Linked DNA regions of Drosophila melanogaster. The protein of the gene in region 1 interacts with the protein of each later gene in a pairwise test. Each region holds a gene or a part of one and is shown on either strand. Other genes may lie near its edges. The genes, in order: cato, bun, sr and CG33695.

The links.
Region 2: the proteins of cato (region 1) and bun interact in a two-hybrid assay, tested with the Drosophila melanogaster proteins (one large-scale study listed by BioGRID).
Region 3: the proteins of cato (region 1) and sr interact in a two-hybrid assay, tested with the Drosophila melanogaster proteins (one large-scale study listed by BioGRID).
Region 4: the proteins of cato (region 1) and CG33695 interact in a two-hybrid assay, tested with the Drosophila melanogaster proteins (one large-scale study listed by BioGRID).

Annotation. Positions count from the first base shown.
Region 1 is NT_033778.4:16,277,056-16,280,793, reverse strand, and holds cato (cousin of atonal), read left to right. Parts: upstream 1-2,397; 5' UTR 2,398-2,435; coding exon 2,436-3,005; 3' UTR 3,006-3,109; downstream 3,110-3,738. Other genes in the region: prim (primacord), read right to left, coding at 446-601; CG33017 (uncharacterized protein), read right to left, coding at 3,527-3,738.
Region 2 is NT_033779.5:12,543,448-12,548,918, reverse strand, and holds the start of bun (bunched), read left to right. Parts: upstream 1-2,307; 5' UTR 2,308-2,509; exon of another isoform or gene 2,510-3,276; intron 3,277-4,575; exon of another isoform or gene 4,576-4,979; intron 4,980-5,320; exon of another isoform or gene 5,321-5,471. UniProt on the Drosophila melanogaster protein: Probable transcription factor required for peripheral nervous system morphogenesis, eye development and oogenesis.
Region 3 is NT_033777.3:18,088,313-18,093,981, forward strand, and holds the start of sr (stripe), read left to right. Parts: upstream 1-2,490; 5' UTR 2,491-3,142; intron 3,143-5,669.
Region 4 is NT_033779.5:11,275,803-11,280,537, forward strand, and holds CG33695 (uncharacterized protein), read left to right. Parts: upstream 1-2,218; 5' UTR 2,219-2,310; coding exon 2,311-2,328; intron 2,329-2,348; exon of another isoform or gene 2,349-2,567; coding exon of another isoform or gene 2,568-2,591; coding exon 2,592-2,683; intron 2,684-2,772; coding exon 2,773-2,871; intron 2,872-2,952; coding exon 2,953-3,661; 3' UTR 3,662-4,045; downstream 4,046-4,735. Other genes in the region: cana (CENP-ana), read left to right, coding at 1-273, 335-535, 597-746, 803-1,054, 1,119-1,394, 1,453-1,533; Ppt2 (Palmitoyl-protein thioesterase 2), read left to right, coding at 4,570-4,713.

The DNA.
Region 1 (3,738 bases):
GGGCTACTCCCCAAATAAAAAGGAGCATATTTGCAGGCGCCAAAAACAAAAGCCCCAACACACAATTGCCCAGCATGTGGGCATGGAAGGCCCCCCCAGTCGATACTTTATCATCATGCAAATGGGCATTGTATTACTGCCCATATAATCCCCTTCAGGGCTAATAAGTACCATGAACGGAGTACGCCGCACAAAAACAAAATCCAACAATGGAAGCTGAAGGATAAACAGCCAGTCCCTTTGGCCACATCCTTGCCGTGGGCCATCTTGAGTTATGGCTCAATTCCAAAGGGCCAGCCAACGGGAGGAAAAGACAATCGTTTACAAGCACATATGAGTTGTAATTTATTCGCCACTAGAAAAGTTGCCTTTATTAAATTTTAGTCGAAACACACTCAAACACACAAACGCGCGCATCCTTTTAGCAGCACTCCTGGTGTCCTGGTCATTGCTCCAGCTCGTTGGTGGGTCCGTGGGTCAGCTTGGCTCTCATGGAGCCGCAGACCATCATGCAGGCGAACAGGGACAGCTCCAGGACACGGCACATGCAGTAGGCCACCACATCCACCAGGTGCTCCACCACTCCCAAGTACAGACACATCCGTGGCTGGGTGCTTCGCTAGACCAGTGATTCCCTTACTTATTCCAGTTACTTTCGCGCTCAGCTGAGCTATCTATCGATGTGTAAGCTGGGTGCACTCCTATATCCTGATAAGCTTAAACCTCTAATGCTTAAGTTCACCGTGTTCACAGGCGACCAACTCTTTTCTTCAAATGATAACACTGCGCTGCTCGGCTCGTCATATATATTTAATCCTGTTGCTGTATCAGGACACGAAGCTCCTTGTCGTCCTCGTCTCGTGTTTCCCCACAAAACCGAATGGGAGCCGAGCACAAGCCGTCGAGAGAGAGAGAGATTTCCATGCGAGGAGTGTAATGATAACACGGAGACAATTATCTATTATATAGTATTAAAAATGTTTAAAATATATTCAAACATTAAAAAACACCTAAAATATAAATTTTCAGTTTAAACCATAAACTTATAACGGTTCTGAATGAGTGTTGAGTAAAAAGGTTATCCAAAAGTAAACCAAAAATTTTTGTACATCTTTTAGGATTTAACGAATACTTATACTAATAGTTAGTTAGACGTAGTGTCTAATATAATCATTGTATACTCAAAACATGAAAGCACGCTTTTCTTTAAAATAAGTGTTTATGCCAAAAAAAAGATAGTTTCGCTCAATGTGCAGTGTTGGTACATGCGCAAACTGGTCTTCAATCCAGAGCAACAGGAGCCAGAGATAAGGATTAAAAGTAAAGAATATTGAGAGCAAAGGAATATCATATTTAAGATATTCGGCCAGCAAAAAATATAAATGACTTTACAATAATCACATAAAGTGGAGAAGTATTTGTCAGATTTGGCACACATTTGATGAATTTTGGGAAAACTTATTTTTTAGTTAATGAAATAAATGAAATGCTTCCTTTCAAAATTAATTTTATTCAACATATTTACGAAGCATGTTTTACACTGAATAATTGGCGATTCGCTTTATGAAAAGAAGACATATTTGGTAGTGAAACAAAACATAATATATATGGTATGGTTATAGTAATAGTAAGATATTTTTGTGAAACATAAGGCAATTATCAAACGCATCAATAGACTATTTTTCATAGCCACTTAATAGTAAAGGAAAGATCTGTTCAATTCGAGTTAATAGTTTGATTCGACAACTGGCTAGACGGCAAATGTCGTGTGCCTGCCAAGGACTTCAAATTTCCAGGACCAAAGGCAACCACTGAGTGCCATGGGCATCGACCATATGTTGGTTCCTAACCGAAGTCAAAGTCGGGTCGGTGCAGCTCAGCACGGCACAGCAGAGTACAGCATATGGTCACTAGACGCGAGCCACAATGCAGTTCGCCAGCGGGTTAATTGATGGCCCATGCCAACCAGTACAGTAGCTCATCCTCGCGAGCTCCGAGCCCCCCACCCCTCCACACGCTCGTGTGCCGTTGAGCGTGAAAGTCACAAATTATGGGCGACAGAGGGAGAGGGAGAGAGAGAGAGGGGAAGATCCCATGGCATGATAGTACCAATTTGGCAAGATATGACGCGTGCCTGGCGCGAAAGAGATGGCAACAGGCGAAGTGTAGGCGTTTCACCACCGAGCGAAAGGGAGGGAAACATATCTAACCCCTAAGTCACCCCAGCTCCTCGGGGAGATCCTTTGGCCGGGCCATGGTAATAGCTGCGAGGATCCTGGGGCCAGGGGTCATTTGCGGGCCATTTACACAAACTTGGTCAGAACGGCGGTGAAAATATTTGTAGAATGCATCTCGCGGGGGTTGACCGTAGTCAAGTCTGGATCCGATCGGATCGTTTCAGTTGCAACGAAACTTTCAAGCCGCTCGGATCTGCAATGAGCTACTACTACTCGTCTGCCTCCGAGGAGGATGGCAGTTCCCAGTACCTGGGCAGTCCCAACTACAACTTGACCCAGTTGCCGCCAGTTTCTGGCCAGGATTACGGACAGGGGGCTTTCTTATCGCCGGAATGGCAATTCTTGGATGCCGCAGGCGGAACTCAAACGGAACTAGGACCCATCATGGAGGCGCAAGGACAGCACACCCAGCCGCAGACCAAACGGCGGAGTAACAGCTTCACAGGATCGGACGGTAGGAAGAGCAGTCCAGAGCAGACCAATCTCAGTCCCACGGTCCAGAAAAGGAGACGACAGGCTGCCAATGCGCGGGAAAGGAAGCGGATGAATGGATTGAATGCGGCTTTCGAGCGCCTAAGGGAAGTGGTGCCCGCTCCGTCCATTGACCAGAAATTGTCCAAGTTCGAGACTCTCCAGATGGCCCAGTCCTACATCCTGGCGCTGTGCGATCTTCTCAACAACGGGGACGTGGAAGTGGATGCCGCTGCATACACCATCTTCGGCGACAGCGATAGTGGATTTGGATTGAGCGGAGGATCCTTGTCATAGATGGATGATACTAGACTAAAGTTATGTGATTTTCTTCTTACTGTAGATTAAGTTAAATATGTAATGAAATAAATTGAAATGTTTAATTGAATGCTAAAAATAATTTCAATTTCAAAGGCATTATTCATGGAACGCATCGCTTGATTGTGAACCAAGTGTTCAATCCAAAATGAGCTACTCATCTAACCCTTTCTACCAATTATAACCAGCCCACTACTATTCACAGATCCCCAGATTCAATTGGCCATCAGATCGTTTGGCTACGCCTCAATGATTTCAAAAACGATCATAAATTAATTACTCAACAGTTCATTGATAGGCGTACTTCAAGTTTTGGTCTAACCCCGAACGATTCCGAAACTGCGAAGCCACCACAGTGGGCGGTGTAGCGTGACACCCCTGAACTCCTGGCCAAAACTCCTCTCATTGAATAAAAAAGGCAGCTGAGTCCTTCGGCTTCGGTTGGGTGCTGTTTTTTTTTTTTTATGACGAGAGGGCGAGTTTGTGTGAGGACATAACAGCTATGGATTGATCACCGATGTCCTTTTGGGTTTCGTAGGTGGCGTGGGTGGCACGGGCTTCACAACGGTATCTTCGTTGGGCACTGTGATGTGCTGCACCTCCACTTCGCCCTTGCTGAAGGAGTTTTTCGATGGCCGAAAGCCAGGATCCGGCGGATGCAGGACAATAACTTCTCGATTGTGATCGCTGAAGCTCAAGTTTCGAAAGGGAT
Region 2 (5,471 bases), on another chromosome or scaffold:
GTGACTGAAAGCATTATTAATAGAGAATGTCGGCGGCTAAACTCAACCACATATACTGAAAGCACTCACATACACGCAAAAGGGATATAAAAGCAATAAGGACATTCATCTTCATAATTACGGGCAGCGAAATGAGAAGAAAGTGCGAGGATGCGAGGATACGATGTGGCATACGCAGAGAGGGAAATTCAAATGAAACGCAAAAGTTTTGCATATGCGTTGGGGATGTGTATGCTGCCAACGGAGTTGTGTATTTCCACCTACACAGAAGAAAAAAATATTTATACTCCGAATCACAAATCGTAGAAATGAAAACTTCACAGGCAAAGCAATATACTATGTAACTATGTAAACTGTGTAATTGAAAAATTCACAGTCACAAAAAAGAATCTAGAACTTATTTTCGTTTTATCATAATCTGAAATAACATGAGTTATTATATATTATCTATTTTTCAATACAGAAAAATTAAAACAATTTCAAAAAAATATACATATGTAATTTTTTAACCTTTTTCGCTCAGTGTGTGCTTGACCAAATGGGCATCTCATGGAAATGACAGTTAAGCCCGCCAACGTTGGTCACCCCAATGAATGCCGGAGCCAGCATTTTCTTCCCCACGAATGCAATCAAATGGAAATTGTTAAAGAAAAGGAAAAAATGCCAGTGAGCACGATTGAGTGGATCGCAGGACTTTTGGCATTTCACAAGGGTGCAACGCATCGGTCTGCACTAATTACGCACCAAACATGTACGGCAAATCGTCAAACCTTTGAATGCCACAAGCGAAAAAAGGGGCAGTTTTTGGGGGGCGAAAAATGTTTGCCAAATGTTTTTCCTGCCTGCTGCAATTTAAATGAGACGTTGGCCAAATGCGAGGGTGTCGCCTGCAGTCGCTGTGTGAAAGTGGGCGGGGCGGGGCGGGGCTGGTCAGTGGAATTAATTCTAATCCCGAACACGTTCCGTTGCGAACGAAGTGGTCAGTTGCGATATACTATATAAATATATATATAATTGTATATACATGCATATGTACATATATAGAACTCCTTAGTGGAGTTTCAATTGGTGGAGGGTGCGTCGATCATTAGCGTGATTTCTTTCCGCTTTGACAAGAAAATCAGAACGCTTCACTGAACTCCATCAGGACGAAAAAAAAAAGAAAAAAGGAATGTCTTAGTCGAATGGTGTGACTATTAGATACCCGTTAGCCAGCTTAAGAAAGTTGGTAAGAGTTGAATATATTTAAAGTCTTAACTGATTAAAGTTAGCAAGCAGAGTATCAGCAAGGTACTTAATTAAAAGAAGAACCAAAGAGTTAAATAAATGCAAGAAGGTAACAAGCAGCAGTGCGACTATCAGATACCTGTTACTCCACAAAACTTTCTTGAGAAGTCTTAGCGCTAGAACAGGAAATGCTCAAAAGCAGTTACATAATTACTGGCAATAATTTATGTTTATTTTTAAGCTTTAATAAACATCAATAGAAAAATTTAATAGAAAAAATAGAAAACTGAGCGCCAGTTCTATGTATCTATTTTGTTTATAAAAACAAGTAAAGTATACAAATTTAAGCATTGTTAAGGTATTAATTTTCTTAATGATTCAAATTATTTGTTACATATATTTTTATAAAGATTTACCAATCGAATTTTAGTCGTTTGAATTCGCTTAGATTCGTTGAAATTCGCTTCTAAATCAAAGCAAAGAAGCGAACCAATGTAAAATATATGTAAATGTAAAATTGTTGGTTCGGTACTTCGACGCGGGATCTGTTTAACGATTTTTTCAGTGATTTCGACACAAAAAGAGTAACTACTGCAGTTATTTTGCTAATAAAAAATTTAACTATATTATATGATAATTATAGATGATATGATATTAAATATAAATATAATTAAAATTTATAATAGTCCGATTTTTGACCAGAACTTATTATCGACATTATATAAGCCCATTATATACAAAAATGATTCCTAAAACAATCAAATAAAAGTAGAGTTGTGCCACTCGCCTTAGTATAACTTAGTTCTAAAGTATATGTTAATTTTATGTTAAATTCATTTTCGAATAATGGAAAAACGAGCGCCAATGTTGCGCTAGGGATTTCTAAACGATATGTAAACGATATCGTATATCGCACGACAATCGCCTGCGTGTAGAACTTAACAATCGATAGTTGTATTTAGCACAGAACCAAACCAAAAAATGCTAAAATATCAGTTTTGAACAGTATAGTGTGACCGCTATATGTGCCAAAAATCCCGTATTCAGTATTTGGTATTATTATTTGATATTATATTTTTATTGGCATTTTGAGTTGGGACAAAAACGCAAGGCAAGTTGTTGGTCTTTTTCGCTGTCTGCAGACGGATAAAAAGTAAAAGAACGCAAATCGAACGCGCCGCGAACGTATTGCAAAATCGCTTAACTCGCGGCGCCCTTGAAAACGACGAGGAAAAGCGAAAAAAGGCTGCGAGAGCTAGCGCAAAATCGAAGAAAAAACTGTGTATGTGCGTGCGTGTGAGTGTATGAGTGTGACGTGTGCGTCGCTGTGTGTGTGAGCGAGCTGGCATGCAGATGTAGAGATGTGTGTGCGCTGCTGCTGCGGCTGTGTGTGCGTGTAAATTGAATAAGAAAACGGAGCACAAATGGCACTGATGGAAAATTTATATGTGCGCTGAAAAATTAATTTATTTGCAAAAAGCCAAAGAGCTGCGAAAAGTAAAGTGACAAGCGGAGAGATGTGCAAAATCGAAAGAACGAAAAATTGTGGATTGCCGACTCTCTGCAGATTTGAAGAGAGTGGCAGCGAAAGAGAGACATAGAGAGAGAGTTTGTGTATGTGTGGGTGTGAGCCGCCTTTGCCAGGAAAACTAAAAAGAAAAAAATTCCCTGGCGTTAAAATTTGCACAAAAAATGTTGAATTCGATTGTTTGCTTTCCGCAGTTCGGCGTTTCGCTTTTTTTTTTTGCACAAAACTTTTTTCGCCAATTTTTCATGCACGCTTTTTCGTTTATTTAATTCCTCTCTCTCTCTCTCCATCTCTCTCTCACTCATTTTTTCGCTCTCCGAATCGACTCTCTCGCAGTGCTCTCCGCTTTTTGCTTGTGCACAGCCAAGTGTCAAAACTGTCATTTACCTTCCTTTTGTCCGATTAGCAAAACGCAACGAAAAACTAATATCCCATCCAAATTAAATTCGTGGCCGTTCGCTTGTTTTAAGTTTATTGTTTTACGCCAAGAAACAAGTAATTTTAAATTGTTTGACATACGCGTAAGTGTGGTAAAAATGTAAAAGAGAGGCCTTTGCCTCTTAGTGCAACAAATCGATCAGAAAGTAACCAATAAAAAAGCAAAGCAAATCGAAACATGTTTCAAAACGAAGGAAAAATCAGAGAAATTCAATGAAACAAAAGTGCAAAACAGTCGCGTAATTGTTGGTGTGTGTGTGTGTGTGTGTGTCAGCGTGTGTGCCCATCCTTTTGGTCTGCTTCTTCACTTTCGCTCAGTTGTTGTTGCAGCTTGCACTTTGTACCTTAGATTTTTCCCATTTCCTCTTTCCATTCCCATTTCTCCAAAACAGCTGGCCAAGCATTTGATTAACTCCAATATTCCTTCGTTTTCTACTGTATTTTATGTGCCATTTACCTTTGTTTATAATGTCAGCTGGCCCGGCATTGTTGTTTATTTTCTGTTCTGCTTCGCCTTGATTGTTTAGTCAAGTGTTAGTTTTGTTTTTGTGCCATTTTGCAATTTTCTGCTTATTTGCCATCCGATATTATGGGGTAATTTTTTTTTCATATGTGATTTTTAGTAGAAATTCATATAAAAAATTGTGTGTTCTGTTTGGTTAACGGTAACTCGAATTACACACAAGTGTTTAGAATTATGGATACGTATTTAATAACAGCGGTGTGCAATAATAGTAGATTTGCAAAAACCAACCAGCATTTCTGAGAATATTAATTTCTAGTTTATGAACTAAAATATGAAATTCACTCTGTATGAGTACCCTTTTTATACAAACTTGAAATGAATAAATCTGATTAGCTTTGAATGCCCTTGAACCAATCTACAATATCTTCACGATCATAATGATCATCCCTTTTAACGCATCTCCGATTTCAAAGCAAAACAAAATAAACCTCAGGCCAGATCGGTTTTCTTGTCAAGCCGCGTGGCAAATTTTTCTGCTTACCATGCACCATTTTGTAACTATAACTGGACGATATATTTGCGTTTAGGAATCGGATACACTTCAGATTTCTGCCAACTCTTTGATACAACCGATGGCACAAACTCAGAAAGGTTTGGATTGTTTTGCGAGTTACTTTCATAGGTATCGGTATCAAGAAGTTGCAAGAAATAAGCTGGGGTTTCTTGAACAGGGATCTATCTGCATAAAAGAAATGCGTGTGCAGACAGTCACGTCGACCAAACCAGAATTCAATCAGTTCATTTTTTTTTGTAATGTAGGAATTTCGGGGTTGATTGCTAGCGGAAAAGTACCAATCTTTCAACAACTGGTTAACTTTTTGAATGAAACCATCATAAAAAAATAACTAATTATTTTATCTAGGGTATTGTCACTTTCGGTACATTTAACACCTATTTGCACCAATTTTCTTTGATGTCTTGTTGCTTTATTTACATTCTGCGACTCAATTCAATTGAGAAATTATATTCGATTTCAATTGTATCTGAGTATCTCATGGATGCATTGTCATTGTAATCTCTAGCTTGTTGTTGTTCCTTTTGCAGCCGCCTCCTCCTCATCTTCGTCGCTGCTCTTTTCTCGTTTGATAAACATTTTCATTGCCTTCTCTCTGCATACATCGCTCTCTCTCGCTCTTTCGGGTTCTTTTACTTCCTCCTACAACGCCTTCGTTTTTCTTTTCCTTTTCCCTTGCCATTTTTTTTGCATTGTGAATCATTTCCTTGCGGAAAGGAAAAGAGCGAAGAAAAGGTGGGAAGTGCCTGTGGGTGAAAGACAGGAAAGGAAAGTCACTGATTGAAAAGTTATTAACTCGGTTGAATTTTCATTATGCATTATTTAACACCCTGGTGTCCTTAAAGTTCAGTTTTATATCTGTCAGCAAGGTATAAATTTTTAGAGGATTTTTTAGAGGATAACCCATTTATTTTTTGTTTCTATTTTTTGCTCCTAAAGGCCTTTTTTGTTATATCCCATTTTCGTTTTTGTTTTTACCGATAGTCTTAAAGTTTAGTAGGGCTTGATAAGGTTTTGATGGTTTAGCTGAGAAAGCAGCAGTGCATTTTATTACCGTATTTTGTATTGGCAATATATCCTGGCTTACCTTTGATGCACTGCGAACAATCGGGACACCTTTCCTTTTGCTTTTCATCTTCTTCGGCTGCTGCTATCATCATCAATATTGATTACCGGCAGCTGTCCGAGAGCGGGAGAGTGCGAGCGAGCAGCCGCTCTCCTTTTGCGGTTTGTTTGGT
Region 3 (5,669 bases), on another chromosome or scaffold:
CAGTCAAAGGAGTTGTCCATAGTAACCATCAAGTAAGCAACGACAACAACATCAGTTGGCAGTCATGCTAATGAATGGAACGCGTTTTTTTTGTAAATTGTCTGCCAAGCGACTGAATGAATGAATGAATGAGTATGTGACTGAATGAGTGACTGACAGCCAAATGGCAGAGGAGTTGTCGTTTAATGAGCAACCCCTTCTTAGCCAACCAGTCGACAACAGAAGCCACAAACGATGTCGATGTCGACGTAGCCCTAGGGTATTCATTTAATCCGTCAGTTTGCAGACTTAAGAGTCTCTCATTAATTCATTAAAAGGTGTTAAAAACGGAAGCCATCGTCAGTTGTTGTGAAGGACCTAACATGGTCAATCAAGCGCCAAAATGATTGGAATTGCAAACGTTTTCAATAATATAATTATCAAATTAAGGTGATGGAAAGTTGTTAGCTGGATTTTAATTACTAATATTTCATCATTTTCAAACAGAATGCAGTTCAAAACGTACGAGCACTTCACGTATTATTATTCATAGATTATTCATAGTTGTAGTTTGTCGGAATACAACGTGGTGTATCTTGTATCTTAGATTTTGTATCTTAATATTGGGTTTTTGGGCCATACTATTGTCTCTAGTGCCATTTCTCAAATTTATTTTCCTAACAAAGTATAAGCCTTATAAGGTGGCGAGCTAATTGTGCTGGCCTTTGTTATTACTATTGCATGTGTCACATTCTGAATGAGCAATTACAGTTAATAAGAGTACAAATGTCAAATGTCCGATGTGGGCGATTCGGCTAAGTATAATTAATTTGACTTGGGACTTGGGTTTCGCTCAGTGTAAGACACTTGAACTAATTGACAAGTTTCCATATATAAGCATTTTGTGAATGAATGAATTCGAGTTTTCAGTTGTGAAGGGGGGGGGGGGGGTAAAATATGAATATGATTAGAAGCCAAAGTGCGAGTGTGTGTGTGTGTGTGTCTGTGTAAGGTGAGCTTGGTGGGCGTTTTTAACTCGGCTCTCCGTCTCTTTCTAGCCGCGTTTCGCTGTCTCTTTTCGAGTTTTCATTCACAATCTAATGCCGGGCTTGATCCACACCCACATTATTTAAAGTGGAGCAGTGCACAGAGGGGCTCTGTCCTTGTCTCTTTCTCTTCCAGTAGCTCCATCTCTTTCCGCTTCCTTTCTCCACCTGCACCCTTTCTATCGCTCTGTCTCTTTCTGCGAGCACAGCTGCAGTATTTTGCAATTCAATTTGCAGTCAGCTGAAAGAGCGAGAGGTAAAAGTATGAATTTATCAATGAAACCACCCACGTGACCCCTTTGTATATACACATGTGTGTGTGTGTGTATGTGTGTTTGGCGTTTTTTTTGTGTGTGGGTGTGCGTTTCTGTGGGTGCTGTTGCCTCTAAAGCTTTTTTCTAAGGGGGCCCAAGCTTTTTTCAGCCAATTAGCTTTCGTTGGTGTTATTTTTAGCTGACTAGCTTTCCAGCAAAAGCTTTCAGGATTGATAGACGAATTTGGATTTCGATTCCAGGAAAACCCTTAAAGTTTACTGCATCCGTAAAAATCCTGGCTAAAATATGTATGTACATATGTATGTCTGTTTGCACAAGTGCATTGAATGACGCAGATTCTACAAGTATCCCTATGAAAGGGTTTTGCACACGTGGAGGGGGTTTTGATTCTACTAAGAGGGTTGCGATCAAGAGTGTTGGCTAAATGTGTGGGCTTTTAGACCGAGGAAAGCCCACACAACCACTCGTAGAACTTGGCACGTTCCGGTGCACTGAAAACAATTTAAGATGACTTAAATGAAGATTATTGATAAATAAATAATTCCTATTTACAAAACACTTCTTCTAATGTCAATGAAAATATTACATATATTGGTTTACTAACAGCTGAAGAGGATTTAGAAATACCAATTATTTAGTTTAACTAAGATGAAGGCACGCAGGACATTTTTGACACTCACACTTCTTTTCAGTGTAGGAAAACGGCTTAAGAGTAATCCAAAGGTGTTACAGCCTTATGCTAGGCGATAGAAGCTCAGCGAGAGAGAAAAGCACTTTGAGGCGTTGCGGGGGTTGTGTGTGTGGTTTGTGGTGTTTGTTGTTTGTTGTTCGTTGTTCGTTGCCCCACCGGCAATCCCCCGGTCATGAGTGCGACGAGGACGGCTAGCTTAGCCCGTCCGCATGTACAGTTGTGCCCACACACGGCAGCAAGAACAACAACAACAACACTCAGACGAGGCATCTCAACTGGGCGACAGATCTCTAAGTAAGGCGATGATCAGCCCACGACTGCCACACACTCACACACTGCCATCGCAAACGGATACAGATACAAAGCCACGTACAGGTACAGATACAGTGAAACCGAGGCAAAACAGTCAAGGCAGCGCTGCAAAGCGAAGCAAACCGTATTTTTTAATACCGCCGACAGTCGGACGACGGATTGAATCGCAAAAAAAAAACGCATCGCAACCGGAAGGAAATTATCGTCTAATAAGTTGAGCACAATAAATTCGAGAATAAAAAAAAGAGCAGGGGATCTTATAGCCCCGATTTACGCGCCCTGTGCATGAGATCGTTAAGCGAATTAAGCCGAAAGATAGCCCGTAGCCCAATATCTCGACTAGCCCATCAAATTGCGTGTTTCAAATCAAAATTGCATAATCTGCACCGAAGAAGCCGGGAACTAGTTGCCAACTCTTCGCTAGCCAACGAGATCGCGATTACAGCCGGTGGATATCTTTCGCGTAATCGCAGTAGCTACGTCGCTTCCTTTGACTTGGCCACGTTCTATACAGCTGCGCATCTTATCTTATGCTTGGCCATCTGAAGTTTCAGAGTCGCAGTTGGCAGTAGTTGTTGCAGTTGCAATCGCGGTTGCGGTTTATAGTGAGTCGCGCGTGCGTTCGCCTTTTTGGCCCGCCTCGTAATTAATTACAAACGCAGTCGCGCGATCCGCAATCCGCGCGACTGTTGGACTACAGATGAAAATCCCAACGATCCTGCCTATTTACGCGCCCAAATCTTGATGCCCTAGCCAGACCAGCTTTCTGGGCGCTTGCGTGCTCTGTTGTCGCCGACTTGCCTCCGAATCGACGACATCTGATTGCCTTTTTATAGCTGGTAAGTAGTAGTAGTAGTAGACCCTGCCTATATTGCCCAGCCATCCACCATCGACATCTGAACAAGTATATTAATGGTTACAGCGGGAAAGGGGTGATTGTCGGTTTGGTTATGGCCTCTAATGGCCTTTAATTGGGGCGAAAGCCAAATATAAGGCTTTATTACATATATATGATGGGGAAAATTGAAGCGGGGCCGAATTTATTACGGTCATGTTACATTAGTTTTAATTTATTAATAAATTGTACGAATATTGCCCGAAAACATATATTCGTAAATCCAAATTATTTTATTGGATGATTTCTTAAAATAATTCAATAAAGGTAATTAACATAAAATATTTTGTGATTTTCATAAATTCCTATTTCACAAAACCATAAAGGTTTTTAGCCATTAGCTAAACCAGATTTGTTTTCTATTTAATTATTAAATATAAAAATTCATTCAATATTTGTAGTCTCATTGAAAAACCTTACATTTTTAATGATGAATGAGATGGAAAAGATTACACATCTTCGAAATTTCTGTACAAACCGAATCGAATGAGATCATTTTGCATAAAATTATTTACACATTCCTTAATATTTAGGAGCTGTTTTTGCCAAATACCATTTGCAGATAGACTCCATTTGCATTTCGAAAGAAACCTGGTTTTTTTATGAAGCCGTCGAATGTTCGAGAAGTCAATTGAATTTCGTGGTTTACCTCCATTCAATATGAATGGAAATAATAACTAAAATTAAAACTAATAAAAATATACAAAGATAAGGCTTAATATAATGATTTATGAAACTTTTACAACATATTGGTTGTTTTAAGTATACTTTTGTTGGCCTCTTGTTTATCTTTTTTAATGGAAAACTCAAAGAACAGCCTTGCAACAACTTCTTTTTGGCTCAAACACAAGCTATTTGACTGAATGACGAATTGCTGGTTATGGCCTAAAATATGAAGGACGTTAGTATGCGTAGCCCACGCGATACATATGTATTTGCACTCCTGCAGAGCGACACGTGCGTAAAACAAATCAATTAGCGCTGCCACATGAAAAGGTTAAAAGTCACGTACACGTGTTCCGTGTGCGAATGTGCGAGGGGCACAGCGCGGGGAATGCTGCTCATATGTATAAGGTCAACCGGCAATTGGTAGCCGCAAATTTTCTGCAACAAGTTGAAATTGCCTGGCTAATTAAACACGCAGGTGTAACGAATCCAGCCAAAGCTTCCGGCCAAATAATGCGGTTTAAATGGAGTCAGGAGCAGCTGACATTTGAAGCGACTCCCCCACAAAGGGGCAGAGAAACGGAAGGCAGGACCTTCTCCTGTGAATACCGAAATATCAAAGTTCAACCGGATAACAGGGCGAGCTTCTTTGGGTTCAGCTGCTCTATTCGCTTAGCGGAAAATCAGGAAAATTTATGAATGAACTTCTAGTTGAGCGGACACATCAACGGGAGCTTTTTTCATTGATAAGCTCAATTCAGTTTTTCGCTTTCCATTCCATTCATATATTTATCCGAATGTGACCGGCAACCTTTGGTCTGCCATCGATTGGCGGGCGGTGGGTTGGCCAAAGAGCAACAGGAGCCTCCAGCCGCAGGACATCCCACACACGTGGCAGACGTTTCGGGAAAAGGGCAAGGCACCAGCATCCTGTATCCATTCTCCCGAGACTCTTCTCGAGTGGAAAATGCTAGTAGCTTCTGGCTTCCTTCTGCACAGTGGTTCAAATCAGTCTTCAAATGTGTACAAAAGCTTTGGGTACCTATCAGCTATTAACTATTTCAAATCGTGTAATATAGTGTATATAATATAATAAATAGGGTTTATAGTGTAATTGTTTTAACTTTTCAATTTAGTAAATATTTATGACCACACTGCGTATGATTAATATAAAGCAATTGATTAATTTCTCACATTATAATATTTTGAATAATAGAAAGTATTCACAACTTTGCCTTACACATTAACATTTAGAGATTTTCTTTTTTCCCGAATACATTTATTCTAACAGTATTCATGGGCAGTATTAGCCCACTGTGCCGTATCTGCCATTTAGCTGTGCCCCTGCCCTTAACTTCATCCTCATCTTCTAGTCAATAATATCTGACAGTGTGGGCGTTTAATCGCATCTATTAGCATCCCAGTCGAGCATTTTCTTACACGCCCACGCTGGAAATTATTTCCACTAGGAAAAGTGAAGTAGAAGTGGAGCACATTTGGCGAAATGAAGGCAGGCAATCAACAGGTCCAGCTTGGATAACCTTATTGTTCTCGTTTTCCCAGCCAACGAAAATGTCCCTTCGGTTTTTCCACCTTCCAGGAAGCGCTGTCCCCTCGTTATTATTATTATTAATATTATTATTTTTATTATTGCTCATTTGTTTCAGCGCTAGAGTAATGGAGCAGAACAGCACAGGATGGGACTTCCATTCCACTTGTGTAGCTGCCTTTTGATTGATGCTCGCAACCTCTAACCTTTAAATGTCATCGCAGGGACGAAGCTTTAGCTTCCACTGTGCAACTCT
Region 4 (4,735 bases), on another chromosome or scaffold:
CAGATTAAACTAAAATCTCTGCAAGAAGTAAGAGACCATCTAGAGTCTAGAAATGAAGAGCTTAAAAGAAAGCTAAAAGATGCTCAGGAACTACAGAACATGGTGGATAAGGAGCGAAAGCTCAATTCCTCTCTACGAGAAGATTTTGACAAACTGGAACAAACCAAACTCGATCTCGAAGAGCAGCTTCGAGCCAAGAAAGTAGAAATCGATCGCCGATCCAAGGAGCTTGGCGAAGTGACCAAGGATTGCGAAAATATACGATCCGATCTGGTAAGTTTTATTTATTTAACGCCTTCACTTTTGTATTCTATTATATTTTATTCTATACCAGGAAGCTCAAACTAATGATTTCCTAAAAGAAAGGGAAACTTTGAACTTGACTATATCCGATCTTCGGTTGCATAATGAGCAATTGCTAGAAACCTCGAAAAATTATCTATCAGACATAACAGCAGCAAATAATTTAAATCTCGAAATGAAGAAGAATCTTCACGATCTCACAAAAGAGTGCAAGAGCTTACGTTCCGATCTGGTAATAATTAATCTGGTAATCTATCTGGTTGATTACAATATAGGTAATTAAAATTTTTCAGCAATCCAAAGAAGAATATTTCCAAACGCAAAAGCAACTGTTGGATGAAACAATTTCTAATCTAAAGGAGGAAAACCGCAAGATGGAGGAAAAGTTGAGTTCGGGTAACAAGGCGCTCAAAGAGGATTGCGAAAAGCTCCGTTCAACATTGGTAATATTAGACTTGTCTTTGTAGGTTATTCGGTCGCTAATGAAATATTTATTTAGGAATCAAAGGAACTTATACTGCAACAGAATAAACAAGAGTTAGAGGAAAGGCTGACTGTTATTAATGAGAAGAATGGGAAAAACGCACTACTTGACGCCCAGTTGAAATCCAATGAAACCGCCTTTACATCACTGCGAAAGGCATGGATTAAGCAAAGTTTAGCCATAGAAGCGGCCAATAAAAGAAGCCTCGAGATGGAACAGAAGGTTGATAAACGTACGAGGGAGTACGAAGAACTACGATCAACTCTGGTAGAATAATTGCAATCAAAGGCTCTTATAAAATAGCTTAATGTTTTCTCTTTAAATCGCCTAGAAAACCAGGGAAATCAACTTTCGATCGGAGAAGGAACGCATGGACGGCACCATCTCTAGCCTGTTAGAAGACAAGCGTAATCTTGAGGAGAAGTTGTGCACAGTCACCGAGCTCCTGGCTAAGCTAAAGCGCGAACTGCCGGCTTTACACACGCAAAAAGTGAACGGAGGCGATGTGTCCATTGAGTTGAATTCCTCGAATGGATCGCCGACTCCTGCAGCTGTTCCAGCAACAAAGAAGCCCCTGGACTGCAATTCCGCTGAATGTGTGCCAAAGGTACGTATGATCTTCTAAATTTCAAGCATGTAATATTTTTTTTATTTCTCTCGTAAAGAAATCCAGCAGCCTAGAGACTGCGGAGCGGAAGAATCGACGGATGACGGCCTACGATGAGAACCGTAAGCAGTTTTGCTGAAACGACTTACGTGACGGCGGAACTACGACCGTTCCTTTAGGTAAGTTAAGGTTTGCTTGGCCGCGAAATCGTCTAAACTTTATGTGGTTTTAACTAATATTGCAGGTGGCAATTGCCACTGCGAGCAGCGGAGCTGCAAACAAAGACTGAGTTCGGACTGGAGGCAAAACGTTGAGTTCAACGATGATAAAAAAGATGATTAATGTTATCCAAGTATTAGGGATTTCTTTTGTTAGGTGTTATCTTGCAAACGGTGGAATTCCACATCATAAAGTTTTCTATTTATATTTACGCCCTAAGTATTTGTCAAATACTATCAATACAAAAATTACAAAAACAATCGTGATCGTAGTATTTAAATTTAAATCTGTATTATGCTGGTTTTTGTTTAATAGTTAAATTCGATAAATAGTTAAATATTGTTAATTAAGAAATGTTTCCTTCATCATGTGTAATAATATTTGGTTCATATGTATAGCATTGAATAAACTATTTACATTTTCTTAATGTTAAAATCAGATTCGCATAAGTTGCTGGTTCTAATAATAAAAGACATAAATTACTTAAATGTAAATCTAAATAAGCATAACGCTTCTTGTTTGAATTCCCGATTGCACCAATCGATAAGTCGATAGTAGCGCAAATACATATTCTAGTGTTGTGCATTGGAAAATTGACGGCCGCTTGAGTGTTGTGTACGGCGTCAGTGTTGAATAGCTGCGGACGCAAAACTACGTAAAATTACGACAAAAAAACAGCGCCCCGCGAAAAAAGGCCATGAACTCGGCAATCAAGGTAGGTTCAGCCGCTCCACCACATCCGCCGGCAGCTCCGACCGCGTTGATCCCGTCGCCAGCGCCTCCGCGCGTTGCAAGCGAGAAAAAGGCGGCGCGGGAGAGAGTCGAGAGTCATTCGTTTGTCTCACTCCTGCGAGTGGGAAATTTGTTGTTCCACCGTGAGTGGGCCGGCGGGCGGTGGGCAGGGGCGGTGCGTTTGTTTTGAATTTGCACGCGGTAACAACAAACTGACTCCGGATGCAAATCCGCATGCACTTGCAGGTGGGGGAGATATTCACGGCCGCCGGACAGGCGTTCAGCAGACTGGGCGATCTAACCATGCAGCTGCATCCCAATGCGGAGTCGCCATCGGGGTAAGTTGATTCTATGCGGTGGAGTCGCGAGTTTTGTGGACACTAATCGGAGTGTTTCTGTGTGCCTTGTTCCCTCGCCACGGCTGCAGGAAGTGGACGGACGAGGAGATCGACATGCTGCACTCGTCCATAATGCGCTTCTCCGACGACCTGACCAAGATCAGCCTAAGCATCAAGAACCGCACCGTGTAAGTGATCCTGTGCTCCTGGCGAGGGAACCGGCTGCCCAGTGTGTACGTGCTAGTTTTAATTGACCTTCCCCATTGCAGTTCTCAGATCCGCCAGGCGCTGAAGAAGAAGGCCTTCGAGGACGCCGGCATTCCCGCCAAGCAAGTGCCCGTCCAGCAGGTGCAACACGTTCTCCAGACGCTGCCACAACAGCAGCCGCAGCAGCCCCTTCAGCAGCCACCTCCTCAAGTATTCAAGTCACAGCCAATCGTGCAGCACGTACAGCTGGTGGCGCAGCCAAAGCAGATCATCCTGCATCCACAGTCTAATACAACTACGACGGGCACGACGGTGACTGTTAAGCAGTACCAGCAGATGCAGAAGGCTGCGGCATTAGCGGCAGCCCAGGCTGCAGCCTCGACGGCCAACAACACGCCCACCATCACGGAGAACATCATTATCCAGCAGCCCACTTCGACTACGGCGACAGTGGTGCAGCAGCCACATATGGTGTCCACCTGCTCGTCGACGCAGATCGTGGTGCCCGTTGTGTCGGCAGTGTCCACTGTTCCAACAGTACTCTCGCCCACGGTGGTGATTGCCGACGATGTGGTTAGCACCTCCAATCCTCCAGCGGCAGCGGCGACAGTAGGATCGCCAGCAGGGGCGCCAGCAGGCTTAAAGTGCGGACCAGACGTGTCCATGACCCTCAATCGCATCAATGTCCAGGAGAACGAGGTGGACGTGGAGGAGTGCCTGCCCGCAGAGGTGGTCAAGCTGGATTTTGTCAGCGAGGAGGTGGCCGGGTGAGGTTCGAGCCCTCGGAACGGGCTGGACTTCTTCTACTAGATCTCCGGCCGCAGAACGAATCACGTAACTTGGAACAGAACCGCTACAAATCCAGATCGAGAACTCTTAAGCAAAAAGGTTGAGATGCCGCCCTAGCCCTAAGTCTAAACTGTTAAGTGTTGTCATATTTGATATACCCTGAAATCACCTTGTTCCGGGCCCCGGATGACAAATGAATTGTGCGATGTGGAGGACGAGTCTGTGGATCGCCAGCCACAGAGCGTAGATATTAATTGCGGAGCGTATATGCGCCGCCTAGACTTAAATTTACGCAAGACACAATAGTGCAAAGTACATAACGACGATCGTGTAAGTTGAGAGTGAATAAACGAGCATTATTTTAAGATTCGGCGATCTCTGGGATTTTATTGGAGTTAGGAAAGCCCAAGGAGCGTAGAAATTTAGTTATTTGCAATGGCTTCTACAATCTCATTGCTGTAATTTGTACTTCATACTTTTATTTTGATCAGACTGTATTATAAAAGCATATATATAATTATATTTTTAAAGCACCCAATGCAAACTCAATTGTGTTTCTAATGGTCCGCTAAATTATATTGCATTTTATCTTTATTTGAATGTACCCATCCAATTTATGGGACCTATTTTATAAACCTTTCCTTTTAAATGCACACCACGTATTTTAAATTCATCCAATTATTGTACAATGAAGTCTCGAGAAATTTCGAATGCATTTTCAAATTTCGTTCTGCTCATAATTGCGCTCGCAACCCATACATTGCCATTCGCATGTCGGATTTCAAATCCGCACTTTCAGAATTTCCAAAGCGGGTAGCAAGAAGAAGAGCGGCTAATAAAGATACGGATACATCAACAACAACAGTCGGAAATCCATTGTTCCCCACAAAATGAGACTTCGTTTGCAAGTCCTGGTGGCCCTGTTAACCTGCTCGTCCATTTCCGTCTCACTGGCCTACAAACCGGTGGTCATACTCCATGGAATTCTATCAGGAGCCGAATCGATGGCCTCTCTGGTCCGGGAAATCGAAGAGGTTTGTTTTTCGATTCCCCTTT